Struthio camelus: one gene and its partners. The protein of the gene in region 1 interacts with the protein of each later gene in a biochemical or structural test. Links are inferred from orthologs where the notes say so. Each region holds a gene or a part of one and is shown in the gene's direction. Other genes may lie near its edges. The genes, in order: RBBP8, SIAH2 and KLHL15.

Region 1 (5,688 bases):
GTGGCTCCAGGTTTAATCTAGAGAGAGAGTATCAAGAAATCTGCCTTTTATTCTGTCCATTTAAAAACAGTAAAAATGTACTTTCCTCAGTCTTCATGTTGTTGCCATGAGTTCAGCATACAGGAGCAAAATTTCGAAGACAGTATCTTTTATGAGACTAGCTGACATGGCTGGGAGGAGTAGACAAGCTTTCAAGCACATCAGCCCTTCTTTAGTCTGCTACGCAAGCAGCACCTTCTCTACGTTGTATGTCATTTATCAGCTGTTTTGGTTTGTGATTTACCTACATCAATGAGCTAGGCAATTCCAATTATGCAACACTCAAAAAGAAATTGAAGGCAGTGTTTCCAGACAAACTATATTCACATTGGACAAGGATTTACAGTTCAAAATGTGTTGTCTATGGAAAGGGTTTTGGAGTCTTTAATCAAATCCATTTTAGGACACCAAATCTATGACATGTCCAGAACCCAGTGTCTCCATCACATTTGGCTTTGACGCTCAGTTATTTAGTACAGCACACTGAATCACCAAAGCCACTTCCTGCAACGGACTTTCTTGTAAATCTCTTATCCAAGTACTGACCAAGCCCAGCCCTGCTTAGCTGTATGAAATCATAGCCTAAGGTGGTGTATGTGCAAGCACAAACAGTATACATCTGTCATTTCAGCTCAGTTAGTAATCCAGTTGCCTTCTTTAGAATTAAGCCTTCCACTAAAGGCCAACATAAAATATAATCTTACAAGAAATGTTACTTTCCTGTAGTAAAATAGTCTGAATACAGCATACGCAGATATTAGTGTTTCTTCTGTTAGCTTTTCTGGTCAATGATGAAAAACCACTCATTATGTTGCACAAGGCTGGTTAAAGTGGACGCTAAGTTCCTGTTCTGACCACTAGTCATCTAGTAGCTATTATTAAAATGGATAAATAAGACATGAAGATCAAAAGAAGGATAGATGATACCACAGTGGGATTGCTTAACGAACAAACACAACTTTCTAAAGTTAGTCAGTCTTAGACAATACTGAACGGAGCTAATCTTTTCTAAGCCTGAGTGTTTAAATTTAGGTGGCTAAATAAAAGCTAAAGGAACCTAAGCATAGATTTAGCAGGCTAGTTTTATGCACTTTTCCAAAAGTGCTAAACATCCACAGCTCCTACTGATTTTAGTCAATAACCCCAACAATCACAGCATGAGAGCTGAAAATTATGGTCTATATTTGTATTTGAAAGAAAGCAGTAAGTTTATACAGATGCAGGATTCTGTTGGGGCAGAGATCCTGATCTCTGTCTACACCTTGAATAAATATGCTATAGGCAGGACTGATGTGCAAGTATTCTTGCCCCCCAGACATGAGTAAGAAGCAGCGCAGCTGCTGCTGCAACCCATGTGCTAGGGCAGCTGCTGTATCCTTCACAGGAGGAGAGCACTGCTTCACAAGCAGTTCATGGTTATGGAAGCATGTCCCGTATACTCCATATTCTCTGACCCGTTTCACGTTCAAATATCCTGTGTGGTAATGCAGTAATGCCGGGCAAGATTACACTGGCTGTCTCCCCACATGTAACAAAGCTATGCGATATCCTATACACAGGGTATTCTCTCACACTTATAGGAGGACTGGCACTTAATTTTTCTCTTAGCTAATTGCACTAAACATTTGGGGTTATCTGATTTTAAGAAGTCTGCATGATTAGTGATATATAAAAAAAGACATTTTTTGTTCCCATTTCCCTCTGCATTTATGCTGAGCAAGACCTCTAGCCCAGTGCATCTGCATATAAAATGAAAGAAAGCTTATAACAATAAGATCTTGCTATACTTAACAAGGATATATCACTCCCCCACCCCTTGGTAAATTATTTTGCTGGAGGCTACATCATTCTATCTGAGTAGTATGTTGAGAGTTGACAAAGGCATGAATAATTCACCGCGTATGAAGCCTTCCTTGAGCTGAGCTGAGCTGAGCTGCAGCATGTTGGGCTGGCCTTTGATGCAGACTGGTTGGGCAGGTTCCCGGGCGCCCGGGGAACCGGTCTGACAGGCCTGTTATGCCAACAAATTCTGGTATGATTCCATGCTCTCCAGAATGCAGAAACCTGCCCAGCCAGTTAAATGAAAGGCATATTAGGTTATCCATTGCACATTGTATATATCTTAGGTGCAGCAGATCTCCTCTCGGCACTCTCTAGTGTGGTCCACAGTGGCTTCCTCATCTTACTTACACTTGAGGTTTATAGCTGGAGGGGAAGTCAATAGTAAATATTTATCACCCCGATCAAGAACAGAACTTTTCACAATTCAAACAGAAGGGTGAGTTTTGAAAGTCTTTCTTTAAAATTAACTTAAGATAAACTAAAGCAAAAATTTTATTCTATGCTTGAAGTGGGAGAATGGCTATCTCCTTAATGTGTCTGGGTACTGCCAGCCTCTGTGGCGCTTGTTGACATTTTTGCGACTGCAGCTTTTGACCATTCTGCACGCAGCTCAACATCATCTGCTCTGTCTTCAAGAATATTTACTGGAGAGACAGTTTAATGAACTCAGCACAGGAGTGTGAGATGGAAACTCCACTGCCAATGACTTAGTATTTTGAGTTGGTCAGTTAAGTTAGCTTATCCTTCTCGGTCTTCTCTTTTATAGTGTTTTTTATAATCCCATAATAGCACTGCTGTGAAAAAGCACAGTGCCATTACAGTAATATGTGTGATAACTAATACTTGCTGGACCAACATTTTTTTTTTTAATTGTGTAGTTTTATGGAGTGGGTTAACTAAACTCGATTTACATTTTCAAAATTGACTTAACAGCAATATAGGAAATGTATTTGTCATTCTTAACTGCTTTCTTTCTATATATTTATTAGAAACTTCCTGTTTAGAATGTAATAAGTAACGGTGGTAGCAATTATAATAAAAAAGAGTCTTAATCCAAAAGAGCAGGCAGCCCTGAAAGTTGTACCTGGATCTGCAACTGAAACCATTCACAGGTACAGTGTCAAAAAAGAAAAATTAAACAGTGTGAAAACAAAAGCTGTGGAATCTGGTAACTGATTAACTACTGCAGCACAGAAGTACTTGCTGAGCTGAATAGAAAGGAATGAAGACAGGTTTTGTCATGCCTGTTAGGACAAAATAACTCTTTAACTGAAGTAAATCTGAATCTTCTCACCCTCTGTGTAACTACGTTCTTGAAAACTCATATAGCCGCTTCCATCTCCCTGGAAATGTTATTTTAGTCTCTCTTTAAGTGACACAATCACAGTTCTCTTTCATGAGGTAAAAAAATAATTCCTGCCCTAGTGGACATAAACCACTAGATACGTGTAGATATATGCAAGATTATGTAAGAATTTATGGAAGTCACACAACAGGAAGCTTCAATTATGGAGGTGTTTACTGCCTGCTATTTCCAGGTTGATGCAAAAATGAACATTATTATTCTTTTGTAGATTGCCAATAAAAAGGCCTCCTGAGCAGCTTAAAAAAATGAATGAGAGACTGAAATGACCTTCTTGCTGGCTGCACTTTATCTGTTAGTTAAAACCGTTCTTCAAAGTGTAAAAGAATGGAAAACAACACAGGGGAAGTCTTGCGCTCTCACAGAGGCTAAAAATATGCATCAGGAAAAAGCATTTAATTCTTAGCATCTCTGTTGATTTTACTATCAAATATGGGATTAAAATTTACTTAGACTAAGGAATACACCATTCTCAAAAGGAAAAACTGTAAGTGGCTGAACTGTATGGTTTGACCAGGGACACTCTGTAGAGACCATAAAATGCTCCGAGAGAGCTCTCTTTGCTAAAGCTATAGAATTGGAACACTGTACAATTTTTAAAATTCAAATGAAATACATCATTTTTTAAAATACTGCTTGCCACCCTCTGCCTTAGCAATTTTTGTGCTCCATTTTATTTGGGTTCTTGCCTGATTGCTTTTTCTTTGGGGCAGAGGCCATTGTTTAGGGATTTTTTTCCCCAAAAGGTAAAGGTAAGTAAAATACCATTTCCCAACTGCTATTCTGTTTTGCTTGTTCTCCCGTTCTGAATTCTTGTCGCTCGCTATAGCAAGAAGTAGGTGGCATGATATACAGATGTGCAAATTTTTACTTCAGTCTTCCAAGCCTGAAATAGACTTCCAAGGCTAATATAAATAGGCATAACTACTCAGCCTATTCATATAAACCCAAGTAATATTGGTAAGAGCAAACCATTTCAGTCTGTAGCTAACATAAACAGGCGCTGCTCCTTAGAATCTACCGTCCTTGGAGGACCAGGAACGCTACACTGAAGTCCTGAAACAGCATCCCTCGGGTTGCTTTTTTCCCCTCCATCAAGCCTCTCTAAAGGACCTGAGAGTTCCAGCCAAGCAAATCCCAGCTGTTTCAGACTACAGATGAGGAGCGGTGTAAGCACTTCAAAGAAAAGGGTTCCTTACAGTGAACAATGTTATTGGCATCAGGGAATTTGCCCTTGGCTTGAGTTCAAAAGTGGCTATGCAAGTTGCTTGAGAAGACTCAAATTCAACTCGTGGGGGTGATGGAGTAGCTCCTCCCTATTCTTCCGGAAAAAGCAAATGCTATCAGTGCCAGACAGATTGTGTGCTGTGTGCTCTCCCAGTTTTAAGAAATGATACCATTCAGAGGACTGCCACTTTCTACACTCCTAGTTGAAATTCCACGTAGGTAGCTGCTGAAACGTGTTGCATGCTCTCACTCACTACATATGAAGCTGGGCTCATGTGATGTCCTTAGTGGCAGCTACAACATGAAGTTCATGAAATGAACATTCCTAGAGATTAATCAATATATTTATCTCTCAATGCAGATCCTGCATGACAGGGAGGTTGTGAACACACTGGCATGTACATATATGTGCAATCTGCTATATGTTATGTGAATAAATAAGGGTTTCACTATTACATATATATGCAGGAAAAGAGCAATTTATTTATCATTGTGTAAGTACAATGATAATTGCCATTCAAAGCTGGCTTTAATCTTCGCATCTAAATTTAAGGTAGTAGCAGCAAAAAAATTCAAGCTATCCACTATTCTCTTTTAAAGCTACTTTGTTTGTACTTACCGTTATCTGACTGGTTAGAAACACTAATGCAGCCTCTGCGCTACCAAAAAAAAGGGGGGGGGGTTATTTTATCTGTGCAACACTGCAGTACTCTTACAAAATAAATTCAATCAGTAGCTGATTTGCTAGCAAATGGTCCAGTCGCCAAGAAGGTATTACCATTAAACTGTAACTGACAGTCAACAGCTTCATATACTACTAGTAAGGCTAAACGTTTTAGGCATTAGGGTCTAAAATGGGCTGGGATTACATTATACTCCCTTTTCTGTTTCAGAGTTGTTCATAGATATGTATTCTGTTATCCAGTTTGATGTGCCATATTAAGGGTTACTTTGAAATCTGGACACCAGCCATGATTCCACAGGAACTTTTGTATCTGCTCAAGTGCTAAAATGACAAAGTCTTTTTTTCCCACAGTTTTATTGTCTAGGTGTGGGTGTTTACTCTTATGAGATGAATGAGATGCAGTTCCAGTTAGACTAGTCAGCTTAAACATCCAATATACTGAATGTGGAATATCAGACTCTTCAGAAGTTTGCTAGCACGTTTAGTGAGCCAGGGATCCATTCAGTAACTTGTGGTCAGGTATGTGATTATG
Region 2 (5,688 bases), on another chromosome or scaffold:
GAGACCAGCGATACAGGCACCCCCACAGGGAACAGAAACCAAGTCAAAGGGAAACAAGCCTCAGGACCTGCGAACAGACTCTCGAGAACGGAGAAACGACTGTGGAGGAAAGCCTCAGCCCCAGGCGTCCCCCGAGCCGCGATCCGAGGTCGGCCTACTGGCCTTATCTCGAGCCTGATGGACGCTTCCCAGAAACGAGATAACGGCCAAAGAGGGGAGCGTGCTTTGACTTCTCCAGCGCCAGCTCCCAGAGAGGGAAACAACCCCTTCCTCCCCCGCAGGGGGGAATTGCAGGGCATGAAGCCCCACGACGAGTAATGCCCCGAAGGCAGCTGGGTCTGCCTGTCCAGCAAGCGGAGGCTTGATGATGGCCCATGTATTTTGATTCCAGCTGGTCCTCAAGGACCATTTGTGAAGTTTTTCTGCTGCGGCACGAAATGGAACTGCTGAAGTCAGAGCTGGTTTGCAGAAAGGTCAGGTTATCTCCAGAAGCCACTGCCCATATAACCCACCGGTCTGGCCAGTTCGGAAACCAGACGGGAGGTGGCGTTTGACAATTGATTACGGGCGCCTGAGCGCTACCAGAGCCCCGCTACCAGCTGCTGTACCAAACGCTGCAGACTTCACAGGCGCCGTGCGAGCGGCTGCACACCCATGGATGGCGGCGCTAGACGCGGAAGACATGTCCTTCACGGTCCCCTCGCGGGAGGAGGGCAAACAGAGGCTCGCTTTCACGTGGGAGGGAACAAAACATACCTTCAGCAGACTCCCGCAGGGGCGTAAACTTTCACCCATGATTGCTCATGCCGCACTTGCTGGACTTTTTACAGACAGTCTCCCTCCCTCCGGATGTGAGACTGTACCAACAGTGCGATGATATTCTGATCAGAGGAACTTCCCCTGAGAAGGGGGGACGCGGCAGCAGCAGTGTGGCAAGGTTTTCACAAGCTTCACTCAGTGAAATAATTAGTTCCTAATAAATTTCAGCAAGAATTCAGGTCACATCTCCCGCTTGCACCTTTGGGGACTTCCCTGCTGAGTTTCACCCTAAGGTCTTGTTGATTTGTGTCTCGGAAAGTGCAAGACCTTTTCATTGCACATGAATGCGTTCTGCATTATTGTATGATTTCTCACAATACTCAAGAAAACCCCGTTACCAGAAACGTATGCCGAAGACTTTGTTGACTGGGCTGTGTCACCCGATTCAGCGGAACTCAGCAAAGGGCATGAGAAAAACAAGACTTCGGTTACCGAGGCACCTTCTTTCAACGGAAGCGCAGCACATCTAGTCCCTTAGCGAGGCGCTCGGCCAGGCCTGGAGCGGAGAGCCAGAGGGGCCTGTGCGAACAGCAGCGTTACGGCGACGCGCTGCTCGCTCCGGGACAAGGCCGCCAAGCCGCGAGGCGCGCCCTCGGGGCAGTAACGTCGGCAGGAAACCCTTGCTCGTTTTGCTGACGGGGAAACGGGCTGGCGCTGCAGCGCTCGACGCCAGCCGCGGCCCGGCTGCGGGGGCACCGCACCAGGTATCCGCGCCGCTCCTCACCCGGCCGGGCCGTCGCCAGGGCCAGCAGCGGCGCTGCGCTCCGCCGCCCAGCCGCCCTCTTTTCCTCAGAGGAAGGAAGGGGCTCTGCAGGACTCCTGTCCTGGGGCTGCAGCGCCTTGCCCCGCCAGCGCTACGGGGCCAGCGGAAAGCGCCTCCGCCAACCGCCTTCCCCTCGCGGCGCGAAACGCCCCCGCCGGCCGGGCATGCTCCGTAGGCGGCGGCGCTGAGGCCGCGCCCGCCCCGCCCCGCCCCGCCCCGCCCCGCCCCCTTGCGTCAGCCCCGCCCCGCGCTCTTGTGTCAGCCCCGCCCCGCCCCGCGCCCGCCCCGCCCCGCCCCGCCCCGCGCTCTTGCGTCAGCCCCGCCCCGCGCTCTTGCGTCAGCCCCGCCCCGCCCCGCCCCGCCCCGCGCTCTTGTGTCAGCTCCGCCCCGCCCCGCCCCGCGCCGCCCCGCGCTCTTGCGTCAGCCCCGCCCCGCCCCGCCCCGCCCCGCGCTCTTGCGTCAGCCCCGCGCTCCGGCCGCCGCCGCCGCGCCCCCATGGTGCCCGCGGCGCGCCATGAGCCGCCCGCCGTCCGCCGGGCCCGGCGCTAGCAAGCCCTGCGGCAAGCAGCAGCACGGCCCCCCCCCGCCGCCGCCCGCCGCCGCCGCCGCCCCCCCCGCCGCCGCCACCATCGCGGCAGCCGGCGCCGGCTCCTCGGCGGTGCCCGCCGCCGCGGCCGTGCTGTCCGGGGGGGGCGGCGGCGGGGGGGGGGCGGCGTCGCCGCAGCACCACGAGCTGACCTCGCTCTTCGAGTGCCCCGTCTGCTTCGACTACGTGCTGCCGCCCATCCTGCAGTGCCAGGCCGGCCACCTGGTGTGCAACCCATGCCGGCAGAAGCTGAGCCTCTGCCCCACCTGCCGGGGCTCCCTCAGCCCCAGCATCCGCAACCTGGCCATGGAGAAGGTGGCCTCGGCCGTGCTCTTCCCCTGCAAGGTAAGGCCGCCGCCCCGGCCCAGGCGCTTTTCCTCGCTCCTTCCTTCCCCTCCGAGGCTTCCCCCGAGCTGTCAGCCCGCTGCCGCCCAGCGGCCAAGCCCCGGGCCGCTCCGCCGCCCTCGCGGCGCAGGCTGCGAAGCCTCCTGGTGCGCCTCCTTTCCGTCCCCCCGCTTGTTCTTCCAAACCTCCCTCCGCCTCGCAGCCCTCGGAGGTGCTGGGGTCTCCTTCGCCCGAGATACTCAAAACCCGCCTGGGCGCGATCCCGGGCAACGTGCCCCGGAGGACCCTGCTCGAGCAGGGGGTTGGACTAGACGATCTCCAGAGGTCCCTGCCACCCCCAACCATCCTGTCGTTCTGTTTCCATCCATGTACCAGCAGGTTGCACTTTATACCAAATCTGAAACATACGTTCTAAAATCGGCATGCATTTCGATGCAAGCACAATGTTCTTCCCACCCATCGTGGCAATGGGAACTCCCTTAGGCGAGGACCCATAACTGGGTAGTAGTGCGTAACGCTGGAGTACAAATCCTGGATTTAGTGCACAGAGTGGTTCAAACGGAGACAGAAATCCACTAGCTCCTGCTGCAGCTGTGCGCAGGAGGCAGCATAAAACCTGAGACGTTCTCAACTCTCAGTCCCGTCAGGTTCCCCCAGAGAGCACAGGGGAAGAGCCTAGGCACGTGGCTGTTTTGGTATGAATGCTGTCTTGAAGTCCCTTTTTTTTTTTTTCTCCGTGTCAGAGGACGACATGATCTGGTTTTGGACCATAAGCTAAACAGTCAGTTCCAACAGTCTGTTAGCTAGCTGGGAAAGGAAGAGCGTGATACGGGGTGGCTGTGGTGTGAGTGCATCCGATGGCACAGGTAACGCACGGAGGAGGGGAGCACCACTACTACAGGATTTCCCAGGCGAGGCTGTGTCTCGTGTCCTTTGCTAGTTTGGTCCAGAAATATTAACAGTTTATGAGAAGGCTGAGGAATTTTCTAAGATTCATCCAACAAACTGCCAAGTGAACCTGCTGTCACTTATAGGTGGTGATGATTTCTTGGTCTTCTATTTAAAACACTACCTCTGCTCTCCTTGAAGATACCCTCAGAGTTCCTCGCGCTGCTTCTTGCTGGAAAATGAAATGGGGAAAAAAAGTCTTGTCTGAGTATTTAGCACAGTCGGTCGTTACAAAGGCGAGAACCTTTTTTGTTTTCTTCAAATATTTTAATCTGTGCTGATATTTAGTTTTGAAAAAAGGTTTGCTGGAGGGAGCAGAAATTCTCTCCCTGTGTCTTTGGTAGTTTTCTGCAGCCCTCCTTTGAGGGACAGGGACTGGTAAGCCGTCAGGTCAATAATTACCTCTGAAATTTTTTTAAGGCTGTTCTGACTGTCTTAGCACTATTTCAGGTGTTCAGATTAAATATTTAAGTCTCAGGTATTTTTAAGTGAGTTCTCCTTAAAAGGACCAGGTGAACTGTTCTAGTTCATATCCTTCCTAATAGACATTCATCAGGATGGCAGAGAGGTGCACAGAGATAATGCTGAGTGGATCCTTCCCATGGCTTTCTGGAGTCCCCAGACGCTTGTGCTGCCGTACCAAAAGCACTTTAAAACCACAGGGCTGAAGTGAGCAAGGGACAGATACGGGAATTGCTAAAACCATCACTGATGTGGAATATGAGAGGAAGCTTTTAAAACGCACAGCTGGTTGTTGCAAGGTGGGAGAGCAGCGGGCAGAAAGGCGAGCAGCAAACGCCTGGCCCCGACAGCCGCGTGGTAGGATTTTGAAGTGAGAACTGCAAGTAGACTTCAATTGCGCGTACCGGCGACGAGGCAGGCCGTAAGAGCAGCCTGGACTCACTGACGATGCACGGCAGCTAATGATTCATGCTCGGAGTGAACCACCTGTGTTGACTCATGCAGCAGTTTAAGCGCTGTCCGCGGTTAGAGCAGCTACCTCGCGAGGACGGGCTCGGTCACAAGGCAGAGCGGGAGGGCTGCAGGCCTCTTACTGCGTTGTTGATAGCACAGGACCTGTTCCACTGTGCAGCTTGTGAATGGCAGTGAATCTCCCGATGGTAACAACCGACGGAGCGTCGAACTAACACACTGCTCCTTCTTCATGCTGGACATGGCAAGAAGTTCAGGGAGTCAGATGCCCAGCTGTGACTGCTCCTTAGCCTCAGGGAATAAAAACATTCAGTGCATCCCCCCCCCCCCCCCCCCAACTGAAACGCTGGCCTAGTTTTCAGTTTCTAAAGTGTCTTGTCAGTCTAATCTGTGGCAGCTGGTATTCCCTAGTTGCCCTAACGAAATTGGTGCATCAACACTAGAACAGCTCTTCTGACCAAAAGCCTTACAGCCTCTGTTTCTTGCATTGAAATACAATACTGATCTATGCAGGATGCAAATCTCTCCAGCGCTGGAACTGCCAGACAGGACACCTGCTCTTCCCAGCTGCTTTATGGTTAAAGAAAGTGTGCAAGAAAGAAGGAAACTATGCTATAGAGTTTTTTCCCTTAAAAATAGGAAGATAAGACATTCCTAACATGAACTGTCAGACTTTAATTTATTCAGTTGGTAACAGAAAGGTTTCTTAAGCCCTTAATTGAGGGTATTGGCTTGTTCATGCCTTAAGGTTTTCTTTCTCCATGGGCAGAGGAGTAAGCACCAGCAGAGAAGTAGGTTTAAACACCACCCCCCCCCCCCCCAGAAAAAAAAAAACCCACATCTGAATAAAGATCACTACATCTTTCAGGCAAGTTTCAGTTCACATATATCAGTTGTAAACACTTCTCCAGTTGGGCACTCTCTAAATATAAATAATACAAAAAGACTAGTTCATGTAAAAATACTGTATTTCTGAAAATTCCTCCACGTGTTACTTCTGTGATTAACGTCACGCTCTTTAAAGCAAGTGTAGACCTACGCAGCGGCTGGGTCCGCATCAGCAGCGGCTCGGAAAAGGGAGGGATGCAGGCGAGGTTGTAAGTTCGGAACGACCGAAGAACGCCCCAGCGATCAGGCAGCTCTGAGCCTGCCTCGAGAGACTGAGAGCTGCTGGTGGGTTTTGGTGGTTTCTGAAATAGATTATCTAAGATTATTTATTCTGTGCTTCTTTGTATGTCAGAGCCTCCCATGGAGGCATGCAGGAAACACTGGACTGGGTTAGTGTTGGCTTGGG
Region 3 (5,688 bases), on another chromosome or scaffold:
TAATTCTAGATATGAATTCTATTATTCTAAATATGTGAAGCAGGACACAAGGGAACAAAACCCTACAACCAATATAGGTCACAAAGCATTAAGGAAGGACGGAAGTAAAAATAAATAAATAATAAATAAATAAACAATACAACGAAAAAATGAATAAAAATAAATAATAAGTAAATAATAAATAAACAACAAAACAGAAAACTAAAACCAAAAGCAACTCCCCCAAAACTTGTCATACAAAACAGACAAATTCATATTAATTTTCCATGCGTGAAATGAGCAATTGTACTTCTGTTTTTAAAGTAAACGTTTATCACAAAAGGAATGGTCCATCACAATCAACATGTAAGTACAACTTACTGGTAGCATGTGTCAAATCAGAACACTTACAGATACATTCACTAGCGGGGAAAAAAAAAAAGAAAACAACCCTAACAACTCTAAGACAGCTTTTTTCTTTTAAGGCTATTTGTTCCAATACTGGATAAACATTGAAATCCACTGAAACGTTCTTCTGCGCTATTTCTGAGATTGTTCACAGTTAATTTCAAGGCCTGAAGGCCTGATCCTGCACCGAGTCCATGTGGGTGGGCTGCTGAGTTCAAGCAAAGATCCACAATGCCAGAACAGTTCTCAGTGCAGGACGTCACACAAATACTTTGTGAAGATGCATACAGTACACGTGCATACACACTAATTGGCACAGAATCATATACTGTCTACACTGTCATACAGACAGATTCTGTGCACAGTGATGAAATACAATCTTATGCAGTTAAGGCTAAGTTCAGGCCTATAATGAGCAAGTTCATTCTACCCATTACATTTTCATGAATTTCACTCATTGTATTTTAGCTTATTTTCAGGAATTACATGAACTTAGTATTCAGGTTCAACAGATAAACAAGTTTTGTTCATTTAACAGAGGCGCTTGAATATATACTTCTTGTACACCCAACTTAACATGACTAGATCTACTGAAGTCAGAAGGGGGGACGTGACCTGCAGACGGCACTATATAGTAGGATGACATGCATATACGCATGACGCAAAACCTGTCATCAACAGAGCTGCTCCCAGCACACAATTACGTACGTATGCATTTTTTTCCCTCAAGACTAGTATAAGGTTAAGTTTGGCTATAAGCTCCAGCCAAATGCGAGCACTCAACAGCCAAATGAAATTAATACAGGACAGGGCTTAAGCATAATTCATACTGACCTCCCAGTTAAGCACGTCTGCTCTTTTTCCAGTTGGCAAATACCAAGGCCAACCAGAAAAGGAAGCGAGTAAAGGAACCTTCTGAAACAATTAACATGCTTCACTCCTGAGTATCAACATGCTTACGTACAACACGGAGAAAACTCCTGTGCTCAGAAACGTTAACACTGTAAAGACAAAAATAACCCCTAATTTGCTGAAAACCAGGGAGACAGCAACCAGTGGGACTTCTGACTGGCTCTGCCTGCGTACATGAAGAAAGTGAGACAGCCGCGGCTAGGCATCTATTCGGCGAGCCGACCACAGCGAGAGACCCTCTGCGACTGATTTCCTGGTGGTCTTTGCGGAGCACACAAAGACCAACCCAGACGGCGCAGGCAAGCAAACTGCCTAGCCCCCTCGGAGAAGAGAAAACCAAAGCGCAATTCTCCTTCGGGCAAAGCAGCCTTTGAGGAGGAGGGCGCGGCACGTCCCCCACCGTCGCCACACGAAGGCCTCCCCTGCCGAGGGAGCCGGGAGGCAAGCCCACCGAGCTCCGCTCTCCTCTCACGGCTCCAGCGAGCCAGGGGCCCCATCCCGCCCGCCCCGCCCAGCCTGACCGGCTCCCGCGGCCGGCCCGGAGCGCCGCCCGGCCCCGCGCCCCCTCCCCGGCCCCGCCGCCCTGCCAGCCGGCGGCCCCCAACGGCCGCCCGGCCCGGGGGCGGGGGAGCCCGCATCCCTTCAGCCTCCGCGTGCCGGCGGCCCCGCCGCCCGCCGCCGCGCCCCCCTCACCAAGGTGGCGAGGTCCTGCCGGGAGAGGTGCGGCTGCCCCAGAGTCACTCCCGCCTCATCCCCCGCCATCTTTGCCCGAAGAGGAAGCGAGGAGCCCGCGGCGGCCGCCTGACCCCCGGCGGGGCTCGGCGCCGCCGCCGCCCGCGCCCCGCCCGCCGCCCGCCCGGCGGTACCGAGGCGCTCGGCTCGGGCCGCCGCCTCGCGGAGCGGCGCGGGGCCGCCGCCAGGCACGCCGCGGGGCGGGAGCGGCTCAGGCGCGCGGCGGGGCAGCCCCGGGAAGGACCCCGCGTCTGCCTCGCGCCGGGGTGATGCAACCGGGCCTGCGGCAGGCGCCGCTCCGCGTGCGCCAGCGCCGCGAGCCGGGCGGGGGCCGTGCGCGTGCGCGCGCGGGTGGCGGGCAGCGGGGCGGGGCCGCGGCGCGCGTGCGCAGTGCGCGCCCGCCGCCCCTCCCCCCCCCATCTTCAGGGAACGGTCGTGAGCCCGGGGCGACGGGGCCGTTGCGCGGGCGGAGGCGCTGAAGAGAGGGAGGGGGGATGGCGAGAGGTGAGCTCCTTCAGACGTACCGTCAGGGACGGTTTGTGCTTGGTCTTACACGCAGCCTCGCGTTCCTGTGGCAGTGACAAACGCCTCATAAATTAGCGTGTTTTAAGTATTTCTGTTGAAAAGGGGTTGTCTCTTGTCTTTAGAACTGCAGGCTGCCTGGGCCCCGCTGTTATTTTATATTATTGCGGTATGTAATACCTAAAATGTAGTCGCTTCGATGCTGTAATCAAGATGGGGGCTGGTTTTGCTGAGAGCTGTACCAAAAGAATGAGTTTCTTTCTGTGGTTATGGATGGCAGTGAGGATCAGCTTTTGTTGATGCATATGCAACAGCAAGAAAATGCAGGTTTATCTAGCACAGTAAATGGGCATGAGGCAGAAAAGAGGATAAGGGTGAAAATGACAACCAGATGTGTTTGTATGCACTAGAAAAGAGAACACCTAATTTGATGTCAGAGCATTTGTGTTTGTGTTTTTACGGTAAAATGTCACTATACAAATGTTAGTAATCTTTGCTGGCCATCTGCCTAACAAGATTTTGAATGTCAACCTTCTTCTTCTTGCTGTCTTTTGTAGGCTCAGTGCTTAGTGGTATAGAGAACATATGGACATAAGACCCTGCCCCAAGAATGAACAGCTCGAATCTTTCATACCAGACAACTAAAACCCCCACCACATGCATGCTGTTTTCAGATTTGGGCACAACATAAGTGCTTTAAAATTCAAATAAAATCCCTGGTGCAGTGATGACAGCCAGCTTGGAAGTTTAACAGAGACTATGAGATAACGGCCAAATTCCTAGCCCTTCCACTTGGAAACTCAAACTGTCTCCTTCATGGAAACCTCTTCTTACAGGCATAGAGGCTATTGCTCCTAGTAGGATTTCTTCTATGATCTCAGAGAAACAGGTTTCAATGTAAGTAACCGTTGTGTCAAATACATCCATGTTCATCAGCAGTGTCTTTGCCTACTGAAAAATGTGAAGGTACTCGGATATTGCCTGGCTAACTGGGTGACAAAAATAGGTTTGGAATACCCGACAACGTGACTGAAGTGTGATGATGGAAATCTGTACAAAACTGGTATGCCTGGCTTAAAAATGCTTGTAACCTCCCACTTTCACAAATCCTAATATTTCCATTTCTTTCCTGAAACAAGATTCAGACGTGAGTTTTACTCCAAAAAACCTAGAGCAAGTGCATTGGCAGCATTCTTGTTTTGAAGAAATGAATATGCGAATGTAGCAAGAAACCTTACAGTGGATGCAGTGATGTTGCCAGTGATAAACTCTGTTTTGTCCTGCAACACAATAGTTCTGCACAAATTGACCAAAAATGAATATAAATCTACTATAAATCCAAAATACATGAAATAAAAAACTATAAAATTATATACAAAATGTAAAATTAAAAAATTTGTATCTAGTCTTTTTCAGGCTAGATGATGTATTACAATTTTCAATAAATTATCCCACTTCTAGGAAAAAGAGTAGATGCTTATGACTGAGGTACACAAAGTATGATGGGAGCATGATGCAATACTTGGTTATAGTTGCCTGGACTTCTAGGCATGTATAATCACTGTTTTGTGAAAATGAGCTGAAAATACCAGGCTCTGTACTTATTTAGCTGTGTAAATTATACAACAGCACAGTGCAATATAAAATTATAGAAGCAGTTTTTGTCACATTTGCAATAGCCTTTATAAATGATTTAATCCTTGCCAAGAGATGTTAGGCATCTGAAAAAGTACACAAACCGTTTCTCCTACTTTAAAAATAAAATTATACATTTCACATATTCTGAGATGGTCTTACTTTGATTCACTCCATTTTTGAGTTCTCCTAATATGAAGAAAAAACCAGAAAAGTCTAAAGACTGGCAAATGTCTAATAAAACAGGATAAAACCTCACGTTTTTAGGAACTGTCAAGTGTATTACTCATACACCTATACATATAAAATAAATAAGGTTTAAAACTACACAAATGAAATGGCAACTAGTGTACTAATATAGCTCAAACACTCAAGTGCATAATTTTATGGTAATAGTCTCATTTATGTCAGTGGGAACTACTTAGCAACCGAGATTGTACAGATGCCTAAATGAGAGGTTTCCATCCAAATCTCCATTTGCATTAATGCTCATTAAGGTAATACTGACACCAGTGGTCGTTGGCTGGGGCTCAAAGTTAATAACGTTTTTAGTTAGGAGATTAAAATTGAGGCATTATTAACGCATTTTGATTTTTTCATTAGAAGCAAATTGTCTAATGTGAAGGAGAAGGAGGTTTGTTTTGTTGTGCTTTTTTATGTTGACAGTGAGTATGTCAAAGCTGTCAGGAGGCAGTTTGGCTTGGTTTGAGGTTGTCTTCTGTGGCAGTGTATGGGAGACCTAAAGATCGTCTTATACGTCGGCCGGCCACAAACTGCCAACAGCAAAATGACAGCTGAAACCAAAACAGTCCTGCTAGCTCTTTCCACCTTTAACTGACCTATGAAGGTGAAAAGTCTGAAGAGAGCAGAAAGTTGTTCATGTTGTATCATTTCTGTACAAAATATTTATTTCCTACTCCAATTTTTCTTTACTGAAGCATGAGTGTGCTATGAGTGGGTATGTGGTTGGAACAGCAGAGGACATATATCCTATGACTAAGGATGAGAATGTCTTTTCTCTGTAAGACTTAGAGGGCAGCAACAGTAGCTCTCTTGGAGAGAGTCAATAGATAAACGTTAGTTTGTTTAACCATAACTGCATTAGTAACAGGTTTTGAAGCAGTGACCGGGGAAACGGGGCAAATTTACTGCATGAGTTAGGGCACGAGATGGAATGGTATGAAGTTAGCTGAGTAGAGAGAGGTCAGGTTGTTGGTATGATGGAGTGAATGGGAGCCGGCTGATTGTAGTGTGGCCTAAGTAGGCCGTGAGGGAGCAGTAGGAGGTCAGTTAGCAGAGTGGGAATAGCAGTGGGAAGTCTTCTGTGAAGCAGTGCACGGCATAGCTGGTTGGTTGTGGAGCTATGAAAGGTGGGAAGGGCATTCAGATTGGGGGTGGCAGTTACAGAGCAGTTATGTTCTTGTGTCATAAATCAAGAATGGGATGGGGGTGGTAATGAGAGACTGAAAATAGATAGTGAAAGGGATGGGAACAGCAATA

The links.
Region 2: the proteins of RBBP8 (region 1) and SIAH2 form a complex in vitro, tested with the Homo sapiens proteins (2 studies listed by BioGRID). The link is inferred for Struthio camelus from reciprocal best matches to the Homo sapiens genes RBBP8 and SIAH2.
Region 3: the proteins of RBBP8 (region 1) and KLHL15 form a complex in vitro, tested with the Homo sapiens proteins (2 studies listed by BioGRID, with this or other methods). The link is inferred for Struthio camelus from reciprocal best matches to the Homo sapiens genes RBBP8 and KLHL15.

What each region holds. Positions count from the first base shown.
Region 1 is NC_090943.1:120,912,211-120,917,898, forward strand, and holds the start of RBBP8 (DNA endonuclease RBBP8), read left to right. Parts: upstream 1-2,142; 5' UTR 2,143-2,317; intron 2,318-5,688. UniProt on the Homo sapiens protein: Endonuclease that cooperates with the MRE11-RAD50-NBN (MRN) complex in DNA-end resection, the first step of double-strand break (DSB) repair through the homologous recombination (HR) pathway.
Region 2 is NC_090950.1:33,747,063-33,752,750, forward strand, and holds the start of SIAH2 (E3 ubiquitin-protein ligase SIAH2), read left to right. Parts: upstream 1-2,096; coding exon 2,097-2,513; intron 2,514-5,688. UniProt on the Homo sapiens protein: E3 ubiquitin-protein ligase that mediates ubiquitination and subsequent proteasomal degradation of target proteins.
Region 3 is NC_090942.1:135,263,128-135,268,815, forward strand, and holds the start of KLHL15 (kelch-like protein 15), read left to right. Parts: upstream 1-2,450; 5' UTR 2,451-2,535; intron 2,536-3,110; exon of another isoform or gene 3,111-3,450; intron 3,451-5,688. Other genes in the region: EIF2S3 (eukaryotic translation initiation factor 2 subunit 3), read right to left, coding at 1,993-2,061. UniProt on the Homo sapiens protein: Substrate-specific adapter for CUL3 E3 ubiquitin-protein ligase complex.